Mus musculus: one gene and its partners. The protein of the gene in region 3 purifies or fractionates together with the protein of the main gene of each other region. This does not show direct contact. Links are inferred from orthologs where the notes say so. Each region holds a gene or a part of one and is shown on either strand. Other genes may lie near its edges.

The links. Proteins that work in one complex are often made in the same cells at the same time.
Region 1: the proteins of Nup214 (region 3) and Xpo1 purify together in Homo sapiens (affinity purification with western blotting; 4 studies listed by BioGRID and IntAct, with this or other methods). This does not show direct contact. The link is inferred for Mus musculus from reciprocal best matches to the Homo sapiens genes NUP214 and XPO1.
Region 2: the proteins of Nup214 (region 3) and Kpnb1 purify together in Homo sapiens (affinity purification with mass spectrometry; 3 studies listed by BioGRID and IntAct, with this or other methods). This does not show direct contact. The link is inferred for Mus musculus from reciprocal best matches to the Homo sapiens genes NUP214 and KPNB1.
Region 4: the proteins of Nup214 (region 3) and Nup62 purify together in Homo sapiens (affinity purification with mass spectrometry; 5 studies listed by BioGRID and IntAct, with this or other methods). This does not show direct contact. The link is inferred for Mus musculus from reciprocal best matches to the Homo sapiens genes NUP214 and NUP62.

Annotation. Positions count from the first base shown.
Region 1 is NC_000077.6:23,254,652-23,258,840, reverse strand, and holds the start of Xpo1 (exportin-1), read right to left. Parts: upstream 2,801-4,189; 5' UTR 2,681-2,800; exon of another isoform or gene 2,198-2,680; 5' UTR 2,124-2,197; intron 1-2,123. UniProt on the Homo sapiens protein: Mediates the nuclear export of cellular proteins (cargos) bearing a leucine-rich nuclear export signal (NES) and of RNAs.
Region 2 is NC_000077.6:97,185,093-97,189,124, forward strand, and holds the start of Kpnb1 (importin subunit beta-1), read right to left. Parts: upstream 2,801-4,032; 5' UTR 2,494-2,800; coding exon 2,454-2,493; intron 2,356-2,453; coding exon 2,297-2,355; intron 18-2,296; coding exon 1-17.
Region 3 is NC_000068.7:31,972,257-31,978,177, forward strand, and holds the start of Nup214 (nuclear pore complex protein Nup214), read left to right. Parts: upstream 1-2,193; 5' UTR 2,194-2,307; coding exon 2,308-2,352; intron 2,353-4,243; coding exon 4,244-4,439; intron 4,440-5,507; coding exon 5,508-5,659; intron 5,660-5,921. UniProt on the Homo sapiens protein: Part of the nuclear pore complex. Has a critical role in nucleocytoplasmic transport.
Region 4 is NC_000073.6:44,814,749-44,818,887, reverse strand, and holds the start of Nup62 (nuclear pore glycoprotein p62), read right to left. Parts: upstream 2,801-4,139; 5' UTR 2,405-2,800; exon of another isoform or gene 2,230-2,404; intron 1-2,229. Other genes in the region: Atf5 (cyclic AMP-dependent transcription factor ATF-5), read left to right, coding at 3,722-3,899. UniProt on the Homo sapiens protein: Essential component of the nuclear pore complex. The N-terminal is probably involved in nucleocytoplasmic transport.

The DNA.
Region 1 (4,189 bases), on a different chromosome or scaffold from region 3:
GGGCTATACAGAGAAACCCTGTCTCGGAAAAAGAAGAAAGAAAAGAAAAGAAAAGAAAAGAAAAAGAAAAAGAAAAAGAAAAAGAAAAAGAAAAAGAAAAAGAAAAGAAACAAACAAACTGGGCTGGAGAGATAGCTCAGTGGCTGTGCTTCCAAAGGACCCTGGTTCAATTCCCAGCACCCACATTGATCTGTAACTCTGGTTTCTGGTTTTCTGACACCTCCACAAAGACATACATGCAGGCAAAACACCAACAAAACATAAACTAAAAGTAAAAATAAATTATATATTAAAAATTAAAGAAAGCACCTGGGAGGTGAAAGGACAATTAACACCAAGGCCAGTGTTAAGAGATAAGACATATGCAATCCCAGAAGAGATGGAAGCACAGACTGGAATACACAGTGAGACTCTGTCTGTCTTAAGAAGGGAAAAACAGAACACTAATATACAAGAAAAATAAATCCCACTAACAAATAACTATTCTTTCCAATAACTTCAAGTGTCATAACTTTTACAGATTAAAACAGATTTTTCGAGTTTATGGTTAAAAATTGCAACCAACTTGTCTCAGACACTATCTCAATTTATAGTTCTTTAAAAAAAAAAGTAATGATTAAATGTTTAGTCAAATGACCCTACACTTAAGTCCTAAGTTTCATTTTCAAGTTGGTCTTCTCTAAGAATTCAGATACTAGACTCATGTGGGGGAAGGGGTGCAATCTAAGAATACTTAAATACAGTTGTTGGCCTTTCTCGGAACTAGCGGTTATCTTCCAACTTCAACTATAGGTAATCCAGAAATGGCGGCTCTGTGGTCAATGCCAAGCACATTTAGCAGCCCCAACCAAACAGCTTCCAAATAGTCATTCCACCGTCAGCCGTGACACCCACATTCAAGATACAGAATCATGCAGTAAGTAGTGCAGCTATGGAGGGATTGTTCACTTTCTGATTGGTTCACCTGTCTCGTTGGTGTCCCCCAATCCCAAATTCCACTCACTGGATTGTGAACTGTAGGAACCCATCAAACAATGCTGTGACTCTACAAGTGATTGTCCATATACCTTCAATGGCACTGCAAGCAGCAAAACACTACCCACCAGTAGCCATCTAAAAAGGTAAGTTCACAATGAGTCAAAAAACAAGATGCTACAAAAGACTGCTACTCCGTGTGTGGGCAATCGCCTGCTTCATTCAGTAAGAAACACACGCCTCACTAGGAAGGGACCGCCCTCCCCTGGCTTCCCACCCGAACGACTCTCAGCACTTCTAACTATAGCTCACAGGAGCACGCACTCACCCCGCCCATACTCGGAGGAGGCATTTAGACCCGGCGCCTAAGTTCACCGCCCTATTCTCTATGCAGCATGTCCTCTGAGTGATCCGAGGTCCCGCCTCGGCGAGTATTCAGTGCATCCTCTACCACCACTTCCTCTCCTACACCGCAAACTCAAGAAACCAGAAGGAGGAGCAGGGAGGGCATCATTCACTGTCCACGGCCAGCAGTACACGGTTTCACCAAGACATATATGCCCCGGGCGAAAACAACCTACAACACGGAACCCCAACTGCAGGCCCCCGAAAAAAAGAAATTAACTCCTCTTTCCTACTTCTTGTTATACACACACTCACAAAACCAACAACAACAAAAATCACCCACAAGGCTTTCGAGTTTCTTCACATAAGAAGGGACTCGGTAGCCCCTCCCTCCCCCATCCCAAGCTCTCCACCGAGGGGGCCACGTGATGCAGGCGGACGTTTCAATGCTGCTGCACTAAATATTTCTGGAAACTTCCACTCCTAATAATTTACAGAGACGTTCCCGAAATCACCCCCGACTCTCCCCAGCCCTTTGGACTGGGGAAGCCCTTCCACCCACGCGCAGGGGCTCAGCCTCACTACCACGCTCCTCGCCTTCCTCCACCGCCACCCGCACACGAAGATGACCCAGCAAGCGCTCCCCTCCCGCGGCCGCCTCCCCACCTCCATCACCGAGCGACAGAAGCGCTTCCATTCAATCTCAGGCTCCGCCGAGGGCCCCGCGCCCGCCGCCCGCCTCGCCTCATGCCCGCCGCGCCGCCGCCGCCCGACCCTCGGCCCCGAGCACACGACCGACTTACCCAGAAATTCAACCAACTGCTTCTTCCTTCCTTGTCCGGGCTTGGGGCGAGGGAAGGTGGGGAGGAGGGAGAGGGGAGGAAATCAAGGTGGGTTTCACAGTTTTCCCACCTTAAACAAAAAAGAAATTAAAAAGCAGAGAAGGGCAAAAAAAAAAAAAAAAGCTCAGTATTTACTATTCTAGGGACAACTCCACCCAACACACACTCACGCACACACACGCGCGCACGCACACACACGCGCCCCACCAAAAAGGGGAATTAATCCGAGAAATAAATGCTCCCGCCCGGCTGGGGAGGGAAGGAAGGGGGAGGGGAGCGGGCCAGTCCGTGAGACAGAGCCCAGGACCCTCCAGCCACAGGCGGCGGCGGGAGCAGCAGCGCGAGTCCGTACGGCCGGGGCCGCTCTGCCGCCAGTTGCAGTCCGGCTCCCCCTACCACACAGGGCTCCCTCGCTCACGCCGCTCCGGCGCCGGGCCCCCCCACCCGAGCTAGCCTAAACTTTCCCCCCTTCGCGTGCTCCTCAGCGACTGGTGCCTCCCCCCTCCCCCTCGGGATGGTTGCACGACTGCTGCAGCAAAGGCTGGAACAGGCACGGCCGCCGGGGCTGTAGCTACTGTTGCTCTTGCTGATGCTGAAGCTCCCGCTGCTCCTGCCGCGGCCGCTGCAGCCGCTTCTCCCCCTCCTCCTAGTGCCTCAAACTCGGAACCGGTTGAAACCGGTTCAGACTGGGAGATTCCATCTCGGTTGAGTTTTCAGCCCATGGCGCCGCGGAGCGTTTGGAACCTGGGCCTCCGCCCCCAGGCCGCGCGCCCATTGGTCGGCCCCGGCCACAGCCGCGCCATCAGCCTACCTCTTATTGGTCGGAGCGCCCGTCAATCCCACCTCAAGGCTCCACACGAGCCTGCCGCTTAGGCCCCCGCCTCTTTCCAGCAGTGATTTGCCCGCAGAGTGGGGGAGGGGAGGCGGGGCGGGACGCAAAGGAGTGAGGGGGGGGTGGAGGAAGAGAAGGTGGGACGTCGAACAGAGCCCAGCAAAGAGGAGAGCGGAGAAGCCTCACAGAGGATTGGCTTGAGTGAGCTGTCAGTCAAGTGCAGCCCGCCTTCTACATCCCTTTCCCCTCGAGTGGCTCCCCCTCTCGGTCCCTCGCTTGTAAGCCCGGCCTTTCCGGCTCGCCCATTGGCTGGGCGCCTTTGGTGACGGAGAGGGTGGGGTTCGCCCGTGAGCAGAAGGCAGCGCGGGTTTGAGCGCCGCGCGCGTTGCTCGTCTTTCTGCTTTCCCCCCCTCCCCGTTCCCTGGCGGCCCGCCCCCTCGAGCTCCCGCCAACCTCAGGGGCCTCGTCCTGGGGCCCCAGCATCCGCCCTTAGGATGGGGTCTGTGCTCGGAAAAGGGAGGGCACACCCTGTTTCTACATGGAAATAGACGGCCGCGAAGGACCGAAAAGAACACATAGGTGCCGGATGGTAGGCCCTGGGCCTTGGATCCGTTGTAGAGGCCTGGGTTTGGGCACCGCATGGGAACGTGAATAGCACGGGCCGAGGTTGGCATAAACGGGCGTGCAGTTTGGGCGCCTGGAAACGGTTGTCTAGTTAGTTATTGGACGAGCCTCCTTAAAAATTTAACTCTCTACCGGGCAGAGGTGGCGCATGCCCTTAATCCCAGCACTTGGAAGGCAGAGACAGGGATTTCTGAGTTCGAGGCCAGCCTGGTCTACAGAGTGAGCTCGAGGACAGCCAGGGCTACACAGAGAAACCCTGTCTCGAAAAAAAACAACAACAAAAAATTAACTCTCCCCAGACTGCTTCAACAAGAAGTTATTTCTAAAAATTAGTCCTAACACATTGAAAATCCTGTTGCTAACTTAACAATGCGTATAGACAGATTTTGTGCCAACTTCTTTTAACTTGGTGCGTGCCCTTATTATGCCACGCCCCTAGGTTAACCCATGGCTCCCAAGTGCCAGGTCAGTTTTGCTGATTAGGGTTGCTTAAAACAACCAGCAGTTGGGTGGTGGTGACAGAGGCAGAGGCAGGCAGATCTCTTGAATTCAAACAAGCCTGGACTACAGA
Region 2 (4,032 bases), on a different chromosome or scaffold from region 3:
TCCACAAGGAACGTGGGCTGTGGAGAAGGTGCATTTGCAAGCATATTAGCAATTTCCCCTTGCTTATAAAGTACTAAACTAGAGAAGCACACAAAATTTAGATCAAATCAAGGTATCTCAGGAAACTGGGAAATCTCTCTTTGAAATAGTACCTGCCTAGACTCAACATTGAAGAGGTTTCCTTGGGTTCAAAAAGTTAAGGCCTGACTAAGCAACAAAAGCCACTTCAAGGACAAGTCACCTGCTATATGAAGAAACAGATTCCTCCTATCAAGAACATGTTTTGAGCCCAAGTCTAATAAATATCTCCCCAGAATTAAAGGCAAGTCGATGCCTGGTGACACGGCAATCCTAGTGACAACTTTCTCCAAGCATGTACAACAATGTCCAGTACTGCAAATCAGCTCAACGAAAAGAATTCTTGAAAAGTATATTAAAAAAAAAAAAATCTTGTTCAAAAACATCAGGACAGCCCTGTGATCTCATGTAAGGCATCCTTTCTAACATATGTGTGCCAGTCTAACATACATGTAAGACCGAGTCCTCCGTGTTTTAGTTCTGCATGTTCAACAAAAGGGATCTGTAAGCCAAAGTGTTAACTAGTTTTCAGAAATTGAAAGAATATGACAATGTGAATGATGAATTGTCAAGAGAAATTGGTTTCATCCCAGCACTTAGGAGGCAGAGGCAGGTGGATTTCAGAGTTGGGAGACCAGTCTGGTCTACAGAAAGTGAGTTCCAGGATAGTCAGGGCTATATAGAGAAATCCTGTCTTGACTCCCCCCCGCCCAAAAAAAAAAAAAAAAAAAAGAGAGAGGGGAAAAAAAAAAAAAAACTGGCTTCATTTAGAAGCAGAACATACCAGGGAGCCTATGGTGTTTTGGACCTAATGTGAACTAACAATGAATCATCCAAAAATCTATGTTTTGAAATACAGGTCCAAAAGATAATCATCTATAACACCCCCCTTCCTCTTTCTGAGCATACAGAGGCACACACAGGGGGGTGGGCCTGTACGTAATCTGTCCAATCAGGAATGTTATAGAAGGCCAAAGTAGACACTTTTTTTAGTGTTAGCAAACTCTTCAAACACAGGAGATAATTCTCAATGTAAGCAAACTCTACAGTAGGCTCAGAACACAATTCTCCAATTTCTATTCTGTGCCACTGAAGAGTTAGGAGCAGGAAAAAGGGCTTCTTGCAAAGTAGCAAAAGCAAAACCAAGAATATACTATGAGCAGAATTCTCAGTCTACACTAAAAAGGAAATGCTTGGAAAGGTGTGAGATAAAAAAACCTTAACACAAGTCGCTTACCTCTCCACCAAAAGTGGTCAGTACAAATCAGATATGTCGCTGTATGGATGTTACTATTTTGCAAAGCTCTCACAAAGGACATTGGGTTACAATGTTTTTTTTCACTTTTTAAAACTTCCTACCTTTAAAGAGACTTTCCATATCATCCACGCTTCCCTCCCCTTCCCCCAAAAAGGAGAGGAGAAACATTCTGGCAATAGGCTGCTTCAATAATCCCACATTTTCCTATACAAAAGTCAGTCACTTTTTCTTTTCTCAAATGTACTTCTTAAATCCGAAAGTATGAAAAACGGGGTTACATTTGTGATTTATCAGAGAATAGGCTCAATCTCAGAAATGAGCCTCAGCCTGAGATCCTTAAAGATGAGTTCTCTGAAAACCTAAGTCCAAACAGAACATTCGTGCACTTAGACCAGGAATGGGATAATAATGGGCAAGAAAAAGAAAAAAATTGTGGCAATGGGTCCAGAGGTGGTCGGGTGCCAGGCGTGGCCATGAGCACAGACCAAGGGAGCTGGGGAAGGGTAGGGCTCTGGGAAGTAGTTGCATACTGCCTCAAAACCAGGGGACAGGAAGGAGAGGCCGGCCGCAGCCAGTACAAGGCAGGCGGCAGGGCGCAGAGCTTCCACATGGCCCCTAGGCCCGGCTCCCCAACCCCCACCCTTGCTGAACACGCAGCGCCATGCAACCTAACTTCCCTTCCCTCCCTCTTTCTCCCTCCCGCAGCACCGCCGCCCTCAGGCCGCGTGGCGATTGGACGGCGATCACCCCGGCGCGCCTCGCTATTGGCCAGACGCGGGGCTCGGGGCGGGACACACCCACCGGCTTCCCGATGGCGGGGTTAGGTTGGGCCGGGCGGGGGGGTAGGGGGACGAGCTGGGGCGGGGTGGGTTCCTGAGGCCTGGGCCTCCAGGAGGGCGGGAAGGGCCGCACGCAGGGATGGGGACGCGGCGGGATGGGGCGCGGCGGGGCGGCACGCACCAGATTCTCCACGGCCGCACGCTCGAGGAACTTCTGCGCCGCTTCCAGCTCCAGCCGATCTGCCGGGAGAGATGGGGGGAGAGGCAGCGGGGTCAGAGGGGCCACCCCCTCCCCCACCCCGGTCACCTCGGCCCGACCCCCCGGCCCCGAGTCCTACCCGGAGACACGGTCTTCTCGAGGATGGTTATGAGCTCCATGGCGGAGGTGACGGCGGCGGGGACTCCTCGCAAGACGGCGGCCCGGCCTGTCGGGCGGCGGCTCCGACTGGGGATGGGGGTTGGGGGTCGGGTGGGAAGGGAGGGTGGGGTGGGGGGTGGGGGTCACCACAAGCCCATTCACCGGCTGCCTCTGGCCAGGCGCTCCGGCTCCCCTTCCTCCCCGCTCTCCTTCCTTCCTTCCGCCCTCCTAATGTGCTAGGCGGCAGCAGCTGCTCCTCTGGCGGCGGGGGAGGGACCCCGGGGGCAGCTCGGAGCGCGGCTGCTGCTCGGGCGGCGGAGGGAGAAAGGAAGGGCGGCAGTGAGTGAGTGAGAGGCGGATCGCAGGGAGGGAGAGAGATCGAGGGAGGGAGGCGGAGGGATATCCTTGCCGGACCTCTCCGCGGCGGCACCGCGCTGCCCAGCGATTGGCTACGGCCGGGGCCACGCGGAACCCCCGATTGGCCGGACGGCTAGCGTTGAAGGGCCGCCACGCGCCCATTGGCCTGCGGGCTTCAAGGTCCGGTTGGCTGGGCGGGCAGCGGGATGGGGCGTGCTTATTGGTCGAGGGGAGGGGCTCTGGGGTGGGGCAGGTAAGAGCGCGCCGCTGATTGGGCTGGCCCGGTAAAGGCCTTCGGGCTCAGCCCGGCTGTGCGCGGGGAGAAGGGTGGGCGGAAGGTAAAGGCTCCAGGCGCGTCGGATTGGCTGGGATCCTGGACGTTGATAGGACGGGGCGCCGGGAGAACTGAAGCGAGGAGTTCGGGGTCGCCGCCGCGCGGAAAGGCGGGAGGCGCCCAGGCTCTTAGGAGTCTGGCGCGGAGCACGACGGGACGCCTCCGGGGTGGGGCGGAGCTGCGCGCGAGTGGCTCGGACTGCGCGCTACGGAGAGCCGTCACTCGCCGCGGTGTACGGAAAGCGAGCCTTTCGCGGGCCTCGGAGGGGGCGGGGACGGGAACCGTTAAAGTCCTGCGCCGCGCCCACAGGAAGCTGCCTTCATGGTGAGGTCGGCTTGCTGCCGCGCTCTGTGCGGAACCGGACCATGAGAACCACGTGGTTCACCTTCCAACGTGCGGATTTGCAAACTGAAGCCCAGAGAGAGAGTGGAGCCTGTCCAAGGTCACACAGCCCATTCCAGACTCGAGCAGAGCTGGCTTCAGGCGCCCCTAATTGCCCTTGGAGACCCCGTCGGGGCCCTGGACTGTTAACAAAGTTTCGCGGAGGCGCGTCCTTAGACCACTTAGCAGTTCCCATAAAGCTTTGATGTCCAGACTTCGTTTACAAGATCTGTGTAGTATTATATAAAGAACGTGTGCATTGACGAGCTGTAGCGACACACCTGCCATCTCAGTATCCCGAAGCCTGAACTACAGTCTGAGATCTTGTTTCAAAAACAAAAAACAAATACAACAAACAAGATAAAAATACGTTGCATATAGTTGCTTAACATTCCCCTCCCCTCATTTGGATACCCAGCTGCAAGTCATGGGGGGATTAGGAGCATATGGGTCAAAATAGCATGTAAATTGTATTGTTTTTAAGGTG
Region 3 (5,921 bases):
TGCAGCAAAGTATCAAATGTCTTACCCGAGTGGGGAACCTCAGCCTTGACCCTGCTTGTGTTCTGGAACCATTTACTCTGGGCACTCAGGACGAGACAGTCACTCATCACACATATTTATCAAGCACCTGCTCAATGACACGAGTCCAGAACCCGGCAGTGAAATGGACTGATGTATGAAATTTATGTCTACTGGGGAATCACTCCCAGCCAATCTAGCCAATGACTATGATATGGAGTGGGGGGGAGTGCAAGAGGTGAGTACCATGTAGTCCCAGGGATTCCAGCTGGGCTCATAATTTGGCAAGTGTCAGAGGAGCCTCTGTAAAACCTTAAGTGGAAAAGACAGGGAAGCGTTGAGCTAATGTGCTTTTCCTGTGGCTCTTGTTCCACAGTCCAATACCCAGGGTGCTGTTCCCACAGCAGTGAGAGAGAGAGAGAGTGAAGCAAACAGGGCATGGAATGGTTAGCTCCAGTTCGTCCTCTGGTCTCAACCAGTTCAGTTCAGGAGAGAGATCATTTCGCTATGACTGGCTGATTTTCAGCCCTAGGAGCTGCTTCAAATGCACAGTCTAGTTGAAGTTTAAACCCCAGCATTCCTCCCTATAAATATAAAATCCTGTCTACCCTCACCCCATCCTTTGACTTATTTTTCTTTTAAGATTAGCATCTCTGCCCCCATTTCCTCCTGCCTTCCTTCTCTGAGCGGGCTGGGACCTTGGACTGCATTGGGTCCCTATTCTATGTGACAGAGGAAGGAAGAATCAGCCGGCTCAGTGGGTCCACAACTCATGAGCTTACACACCACCTCCATAAAGGAGTGTGCCACTGACCTCTGCAGAGCACAGAAAGAGGCAGTGGTCTGAAGATCAATCTATGGGAAGACTTAAGAATGACCCTTTAATGGAGGAGTTGGCATATATTTCAAGTTGTGTCTGTTGGTTCCAGGGTTTTTAACCTCTCTAGTTAAGGGCTTAGCTTTCTTGGGACATCGGCTGCCTTATTTCTGAAAAAGACCAAATGTAACTGGTGTAACCAGCAGTTTGGGGATTGCCAAGTATGGCTTTGCCCTGTGACTCAAAAGATGTTTGTAAGGTAGATTTGGGTGAGTGCCATTATTGTGTGCATGTGTGTATGTATGGATGGGATGTGGTCTCCTGCAGACTGAAATAAACTAGAGCAATTTATCAGTGTCTTTGTGTTTCTTGGGGACAGCTCTGGGCTCAGTAAATTCAGAAGAGCTAGCTGACAACAGGTACCAAGTAAATGAGTGTGTCCTGGGTCTCCCATGTCCCAGACAGACAGTTGACGTCATCTGATTAAGCCCAAGACCCAGGTCTACTGTTAGCATTTTACAATGAATAGAGGCTTGCACACATGCAACTTGTTGAGAGACTGCATCTGACAGAATGTGCCCTCTGGAGCTGACCCACCAGCTCCAAGTTAGGAACCTCTTTTATAATTCTACTCCAGAAATGTCTTCAACATCAGTCAGTATACGCAGATCTGAATCTTAACCCTTCCTGGCTGAAAGCTATTGGATAATTTAACTGCTTTGTGTGGAATTCTCTTATTACATATTTTTTTCCAGACAGGGTCCCATGTAACTCAGGATATCTAGAGATTGCTATGTAGCCTAGGAAGACCTTGAATTCCTGACCCTCTAATCCCCAAAAGCTGAGATGATAGCCGCGCACCATTTGCGATGTGAAGTGGATATGGCTTATGATCTGAAACGATTGCCTTGAAAACAGTAAACAAAACCGATCTTTTGTCCCTTTTCCTCTCCGTTTTTAAAAGGGTTCTGCACCGGCACACAGTGCAGTCCACCCGCTAACCGAACCTCTCTGTCCGCTCTTCCCAGCAAAAAAGTTCCTAACTTCTCTAAGTCGGAAGCTTCTAAGAGCCCTGCAGGTAAGTGCTACCGGGAAGCATCGAGAGTCTCAGGAAGGCCGAGCGTGCCTCTCTCTAAGGAAGAAAATTAAATAGCGAGGCTGCGCACGCAGCATCCAAAGGAAGGCGGACTCCGGCCCGCGCCTCATGGCCACACCCACTGCGCGGAACCGGCCAATGGGGCCTTGTGGATTGGCAAGCGCGCGACTTCCGAGCAGCCCTCGACTGCCTCCGAGCACACTAAAAACCGGCCTGGGTGACGTCAGTCACGCGCGCCGGAAACGCGCATCTACCACGCGCCGCGGGCGCTGAGGGAAGGAAGTTGAGGCCTGAGCGGCCTGAGCTGTGTTTGAAAGGCCGCGGGTGGCAGCGGCAGCGCCAGCAGCAGCTACTTGAACACCCTGAAGGCGGCACGATGGGAGACGAGATGGATGCCATGATCCCTGAGCGGGAGATGAAGGTTAGAGCCTGGCCGGGGCCTCCCCGCCTGCGTAGTCCTGGAGTTGCCTTGGAGCCTCGCCTCTGCCGGCTGCTCCTGCAGTTCGCAGGGTCGCGATCGCTCGCCCCACAGAGCGTCCGCAGCTCTGCGTGTCGCGGGCCTGAGTTCCCTGCAAGTGCAGGTACCTGTCCTTGCGTGGGTTTGTCCACGCCTTCTGAGTTACCCCAGGTACTCTGATGGGCTGGTCGCCTTACTGGTGACAGCGATTCTTGTTTATTGAGTGAGACGTACTGTCGCCACCGTCGCTGCAGCCCTTACGACCAGCTTAGAAAGAGGAGCGCATTGAAGCCTTGAAAGCAAATGATCCAAAGTCACGTGGCAAAAGCCTTACATCTCTCTTACGATTTAGGCATGGTCTCTTGTAGCTCAAGGTGGCTTCTGGTCTTGGGCTCTTGTCTCTGCCTCCACCTCCCAAGTGGTGGGATTATTGGTGTGCATTACCACAGTTGGCTTAGACGCTCAGTTCTTATTAGCTCTCTATACTTGAGGGTGGTCCAAACTACCTAAAGTGGAGCCAAGAAACACTATCTGCCTTCAAAACCCCTAGTTAGTAGGAACAGGAAGTCAAGTTTGGCACTGGAAATCAGCTTGAACTCATGAGACTAAAGGAAAAGCAAGCGAACCCTAAGTGATCCCCATGCTACAACTTCTGGATACTGTGTTAATAGTTGGCTTATATACTCTGACAGAATGGAAAGGCAGGGGACCGTAGACAGTTGGAAATGAGTGAGTTGCAGGAAGGTGTTAGCCATTTGTGTGACCGGTGAGTCGCTAAAATGCACATGGGTCGAGTGCTCCATATCATGCTTAGAAACAGTGGCTCTTCCTTGAGTCAGCACATGTGCTGAGCCCGGTAATGGGCAAGCTTCATGTTCCTCAGATATGTTCGGGTAGAGAATTTAGAACCACAGGGCTAATAGCAGTATTTTAATTCCTGCCAAAAGCAGAAAGGAGAGGTTTGGGTTTTGGGTTTGTCTGTTGTGTTTGTTTTGTTTTGTTTTGTTTTGTTTCTTTTGTGTTGCTTCATCACACTGGCCCACCACAAAAAAAGCCACCAAGCCCCAGTGGTACAGTCATGACTATTAGGATGATAATATCAAAAAAGATAGATGATTTGTTTCTTTATGAATGGCCAGTGTGGCCTCATGGGGAAATTTGTGTGAACTTTTACCCACCGTATTCAACTGGGATTAAGAGTACTGCTCTTCCAGAGCTCCTGAGTCCAATTCCCAACACCTACAGGGCAGCACACAATTGTCTGTAGCTCTAATTCTCACACAGACACATGCAGGCAGAACACCAATGCTCATAAAAATCTTCCAGTAAATATGTATTAAACATGGACTGCAAGAAAATTAGTATGTGTGGGTGTGCTAGACACCCTTTATGAAGCATTTCATAAGGTTCTGTAGAAATACATTTTCTCTTGTAGCTGTCATATTCTTTTCACTAAAATCCCTAGCTGGAGAGTTAGGAGGTGTGGTGGAGGATACAGATAGAGCTTAACAAAGTGATTACAGATTAACACTTTTTGAGGGTATTAGATCCCCAGGAACTGGAGTTACAGACAGTTGTGAGCTGCTATGTGGGTTCTGGGAATTGAACCTAGATCCCCTGAAAGAGCAGCCAGTGTTCTTAACCATTGCTTCCTCTCTCCAGCCCTCTCTATTTATTTCATTCAGCAAATGTTAATGAGTATTATACCAAGCACCACCAAATACAGAGTCTAAAAACAAAATTGGTGGCCTCAAGGTAATAAGTATATTTTTGTTATCCTGAAATTGCATTTATGGACTATGATAATAGACATGATTTAATTTCTTCCTTGATCTTGTTTCCTATTCTAAAACAGGACTTTCAGTTTAGAGCACTGAAGAAAGTGAGGATCTTTGACTCTCCTGAAGAGTTGCCCAAGGAGCGCTCGAGTGTGCTTACCATATCCAATAAGTATGGTATGCTCTTCGCTGGTGGCACCAATGGCTTGAATGTTTTTCCTACTAAAAGCCTTCTTATCCAAAATAAACCTGGAGATGATCCCAATAAAATTGGTAAGCACGTTCTTTGATTTATAGTGTGCAGCAGAGCCAGGGCTGCAGTAGCATACTAGTCAGTGTATTTCCTTACTAAGACACGATTCTGATGTCAAAATTGTGATTTCTTTTGGCCTTGCAGGGAGCTTCCACTTAGGGTGCCAAAGGCCTTTCTGAGTTTTCTTTTCAGCTCTCTGCTATTGTTTCTGTGAGCCACTTCTCTAAGATGAGAGGGAAGAAGACCTTACTGTTGTGCTCAGTTGAACGTGGGCTCTGGGAAGCCATCCAGAAGAAGGCATGGCTGTATCACCCTGCAGACGGAAACGTGTGTCTGCAGCATTGAGCAGAAGTGTTTTCAGCAAGGGCCATAGCAAGAGTCTTGGGATATTTAAAGCAGCATTACCTATGTACAGGAGAGTTAAGCTTAGTTCCTGTAACTAGATATCCAAGGTATTGTTACTCTGTATCCATCGTGCATCAGGAGGAAGTGGGGAGAGTGCACCAGTGGGCTGGTGAGACAGCAAAATCTTCTATGTTAATACACATAAGCAGAGTTGCTGATGATCAAGACTGCCAGACAAGAACTCCAGGAGTCTTGTTCCTTCTGGCAGCTCTGATTGGGGACTGAATCAGCAGGGTTTATAAGCATAAAAAAATGTAAGCAACTGGGACAAGTTACAGTTACAGTTTTCACCAGTCAGGACTCTGGGATTAGGGACTCTCCCAAGTGTTTCATTGTTGTCAGCTGACATTGAGTGTAAGTGTTTTTGCTCAACCAATCAAATTTGTCTGTTCTTTCTGTTAGGAACAACATTATGTTTTGGGGAACTATTGTTGCTTAGAGAGGGAGTTGGTGAGCTTGTAGAGAGTCCTCAGTTCCCCAGGGCCTAGGAACTTGAACTTTGTTCATCCAATAGGAAAAATGGAGTCTGAATGTAGAATGTCAGTCCTTAAGACCAGCTCTTTATCTATGCCCAACAGGTGTATTTTTATATAGGTGAAAATGTGGGTTTGTATTGACTTGAGTAAAGGATTATGACTGTGTGCCTGTTACATGCTGTATTTTTCTGCTTTGTGTTTTTATAGTTGACACAATTCAAGGCTTGAATGTTCCTATGAAATTCCCAGTCCATCACCTAGCACTGAGCTGTGATAGTCTTACACTCTCTGCCTGCATGATGTCTAGTGAATACGGCTCCATTATAGCTTTTTTTGATGTTCGCACATTTTCAAATCAGGTAAGCTACTATATGGAAGCAGAGACTTGCTCGTAGACGTTCTAACTTGGAAGCTGTATAAAGGGTGACGTGGCTGCTCCATGGTCTGGTAAGGGGGTATTCATTGTAGCTATAAGAAAGCAAACACTAGAGGAACTTGGAAGAGTCCAGAGCAGAGAAAGAAGTAGACTGAACATGGCCAGCAGAGTGAATATAGCCAGGGCTCTGGGGACGAGGGGAGATGGAGAATAGAAACAACGCCGTGAGGCAGGCTATGAGGAGA
Region 4 (4,139 bases), on a different chromosome or scaffold from region 3:
CTCAGGGTGGCAGGCCTCCAGGGATGATCACAACTCCCATAAAGTGACGGCTGTGCACATGCTGGGGAGGGCATGGCAGCTAAATGTGAAAACCAGCTCTTGAGTTAAGGTGGATCTGAGGGCGGGGGAAGCATCTGGGTAGGACCTCAGGAAAGAAAAAAGAAGTACCATGGGGAAGACTATGGGCTGGTACCCCCACTCTGCACTGTCTTTGAAACCTTTCGATTATTCCAAAAGTTTACTTTAAAATACCAAACTCAAGGAAAGGAGCACCACCGGCACAGCAACATGGCACAATGTTTCAAATAAAAACCAGCACCTGTGGGGCCCAGGGATGCAGCTCAGGTGGTAGAATGTCCATTTAGCATGCAGTTCATGAAGCTCTGGGTCCATCCCATTTCTGTATTCGTAGCAGACTCCACATGGACTTAACAAAGCCCATAGCTGGCAAGGGAGGGCTGGAGTCTAAACACATCAAATCACGCCTGTGCTCAAACACTGGCAGAAGATAAGAATTCACACTCTGATGGCTCAGTGTTACAGAGCACTGACTGCTTTTCCAGAGCAACCACATGGTGGCTCACAACCATCTGCAATGGAATCTGATGCCCTCTTCTGGTGTGTCTGAAGAGAACCTGTGTACTTACATAAATAAAATCTAAAAAAAAAAAAAGAGTGCCCATTCCAAGGGGAATTATCTCAAGGACTTGTAACTTTCAAAATCAGTATTCCCCACCTGCTCTGAATCTTTTACAGTACCAGGGATGGACACCAGAGTCTGGAAAGCAGTATTCTGGCCAACACTCTGCCACCAACCTCCAACCCCAGCCCATTACATATTTTTTTAAAATCAGGATCTTTGTTAAGTTCTCTAGACAGCCAAGAACTCACTTTCTAGTCAAGGCAAGCCTTGAGCTTTTTTCCTCCCCTTACTCAGTATGTAGACCTGTCACTACAGGTGGTGGAGGTCAGAGGACAACCGTCTAGAGTTGCTTTTGTCCTTCTACCAAGTGGGTCCTGAGGATGGAACTCAGGAGGGTTGAGTTTAGAGATCACCACCAGAGCCATCTCAAAGCAGCTCCAGCCCTGACCTTGACTTTCAATACTCCTGTCTTAGCCTCCTAAGTAGGTGAGATATCAAGCCTGGCCTCTGGACTTTTTCTTTTTAAAACACATTGAGGCCAGTCAGTATGACCCTGAACTCATGATTTCTTTTCTCCCATCTCCCAAATCCTGAGAATACAGGCAAGTCAAGCCCAATCCATGTGGTGCTTGGACAGAGACTAAGGTTCTGGTGTTAAAAACAGACGAGCATTCTTGAGCTCTATCTCCAACCATTCAGTCTCTCAGCTGCTACAAATATGACACACTGACTGACTTTCACATGGAATGCCAGCCATGTACATGAACATGGGGTAGAAAACAGGGTTCACGCATCATCCCCGGTGAAGGACAAGAGGGACTCTTTTACTAAATGGAATATAAATGTCCTATTTTGGACAGGATCAAGAAATAATTATCTAGTGGGGTCAGCAAGAGAGCAAGGACTGCAAGAAAGTCAGAGCAAGGGCAAAACCTTAGAGGTCGGCAGGGATGGCTGGAAACAGAAACCTTGGAGGTGGGACACACAGAACGATCATATGGCTAAGAATCTGGGGTAGGGAGAGTAAAAGAGGTGAAGTCAGGGTTTTTTTCTAAAAGAAAATACAATGACTGAGCAGTGGGTAAAGGCTGCCAAATAGTTTGACCCGAGTTCCGTCCCTGGGACTCACATGGTCAGAGAACCAACTCCTGCTAGCTCTCCTCTGACCACCACAATAAATGTTAAAACAAAACAAACAAAAATATGTTGAAGAGTCTCGTGGTTAGGACTTCGTGGCCTACTTTCCATAGCTGATATATCTGTGCGCGTATACAGCGCTCTACAAGTACTTGGGAAGCGTTATCTCGCGGTTGCTGCCTGGAACTCCTCTATGAAGCCTAAGCTAGCTTGCGCCATTCGGCGATGGGCTTAACCCACGAGGTCTCGGGTGGCAAATTCGTGAAGCAGGGAGAGAGAACGAGACGAGCTGGTTTCGGGTGTGAAAGACACATCGGATCTGACCGATTCAGGAGACCGAGCCCGGGCCCCCAGCCTGAAGCAGAGAGTGGAGGGTCAGGGCGACATGGCGGGCCCGGGGTCGCCACCGCCCCGTCGGGGCCGCGCGAGGGCGGGGCGCGGAGGGATCCAGGCAAGCCCGCGCTGCGCCGCCCCCGGTATATTTGTCCCCAGGCCCCGGGGCCGCCTCATTTTCAACCCTCTCAGCACAGTCTCCCTTAACGCTCCCGCCACGCCGCCTCCGCCCGCGCAATGGCTCTGTAGCCGCGACCCCGTCGTGTCCCCCGCCCCCGTCTCCGCGCTCACCGCGCCTTCACTCTCCGCTCACACCGTCTCTTCAGCCGAGGCCGCCGCCGCCGTTGCCTCCTCGCCTTTTCGCCGCCATGGAGTGAGTAACCGCTCGCCCCTCCCTCGCCAACTGCCTTTCCCGCCCTTTCAGAGCTCGCGGGGCTTCACGGGTCAGCCTCGTGGTGGGGGCGGGGGAGACGAAGTGAGGAACCACGGTCGCGCAGGCGCAGAAGAGGGAAGCTGGCGGCCGGCGCATCCGCTGAGCAAGCGCACTAGGCTCGAGTTGCGAGGGGCGGGGAGGAGGAGGGCGTGCTTCCGGAGAATTTGGGGGCTTTTAAGGTCGGCTCGCGCGCCGTTGCGCCTGCGCGCTAATTCACAGACCCTCTGCCCCTTTTCCTCCAAGGAGACAACCCCACAACCTGTTGCGCATGCGCATTGTCTTATTCCCCCACCCCCCCACCCCTCCACCCCCGGCCTGAACTACGGCGGGCGGCCGGTCATTGGCTAAACACGCGCACTGGTCCCCCAGGAGGGTAGTGGCGTAACAATGGATCGGGTCCTGGGACTGAGCTTGCGCCTCGTCGCTAGTCGAGCCAGCAGCGAGGAAGGGTGGGGTTTTGCTTGAGGCTCCGACTCAGGCCCAACTTCCCTCCAATCAGACACCTGCTGGGGCGGGGACTGGCTTAAACTGACAGGAAAGGCTTTAGGAACACCTTTAAGAAAGAGTTAGCACTAGCACTACAGGGGCGGGGCCTCTAGGGACTTGCTAGTGGGGGACGGGAACTGACTGTGACAGACAGAAGGGTGGGCGGAGCTTCCCGTAGAATCTTTAGAAGTCACCAAAATTTTTAAGGGAAGAGCGGGATCTGTGTGTGTGACACTGATGAAGGGCCCAGGCATGCAGAATTATTCTGGGAACCCCTGTGGATTAAAGGGGGTATAGTCTAATGATGCGGAAGGGGCACGGCTAGAAGGAAATTCCCTTGGGATTGAAATTTTTATGAAGAGGAATAAGATGAGGTGGGTAGGAGGGACTAGAGGTAATTCCCCTGGGAAAACACTAGGTTTCTGTGTTGAGGGAGGAGATGGGGCAGGGGAGTTTCCAATAATGTCCCTGGGAATGTGTGGAGCGCTGAAATTTTCGGAAAGAAGGAAACTGTGTAGCCTGTGGGTCAAGCCGCTTTGACTCAATCCCACCCACGTCCCCTTGTCCTCACAGGTCCTCCACCTTCGCCTTGGTGCCTGTCTTCACCCAGCTGAACAATCTTCCACGCTGCCTCCCAATTGTTGGTGCAGCCTCCATTGCCGTCGCTGCCCTGTGCCTGTGTCACAGCCATGTCACTCCTGGCGACCCTGGGACTGGAGCTGGACAGGGCCCTGCTCCCAGCTAGCGGGCTGGGCTGGCTCGTAGACTATGGGAAACTCCCCCTGGCCCCTGCCCCCCTGGGCCCCTATGAGGTCCTTGGGGGTGCCCTGGAGGGCGGGCTTCCAGGGGGGGGAGAGCCCCTGGCAGGTAAGAACAGGTTAAGAAGAGAGGTGGGTTGAGCTGGGGGTGGGGGTGGACAGAAAAGGAAGAATTTATTCCTTCACAAGATCAGTACTGAGGGCCTGCAGTGTGCCCAACACTGTTCTAGGTCTGCAGGGTTCCGAGCAAGGGATCCCTAAGCTCATGGGTGCATCAGGAGACAGAAGTGGGAGACCAAAGCTTAGTGGACAGTGATGAAAGACATAGTTGAGAAGTCAGCCCCTCTAA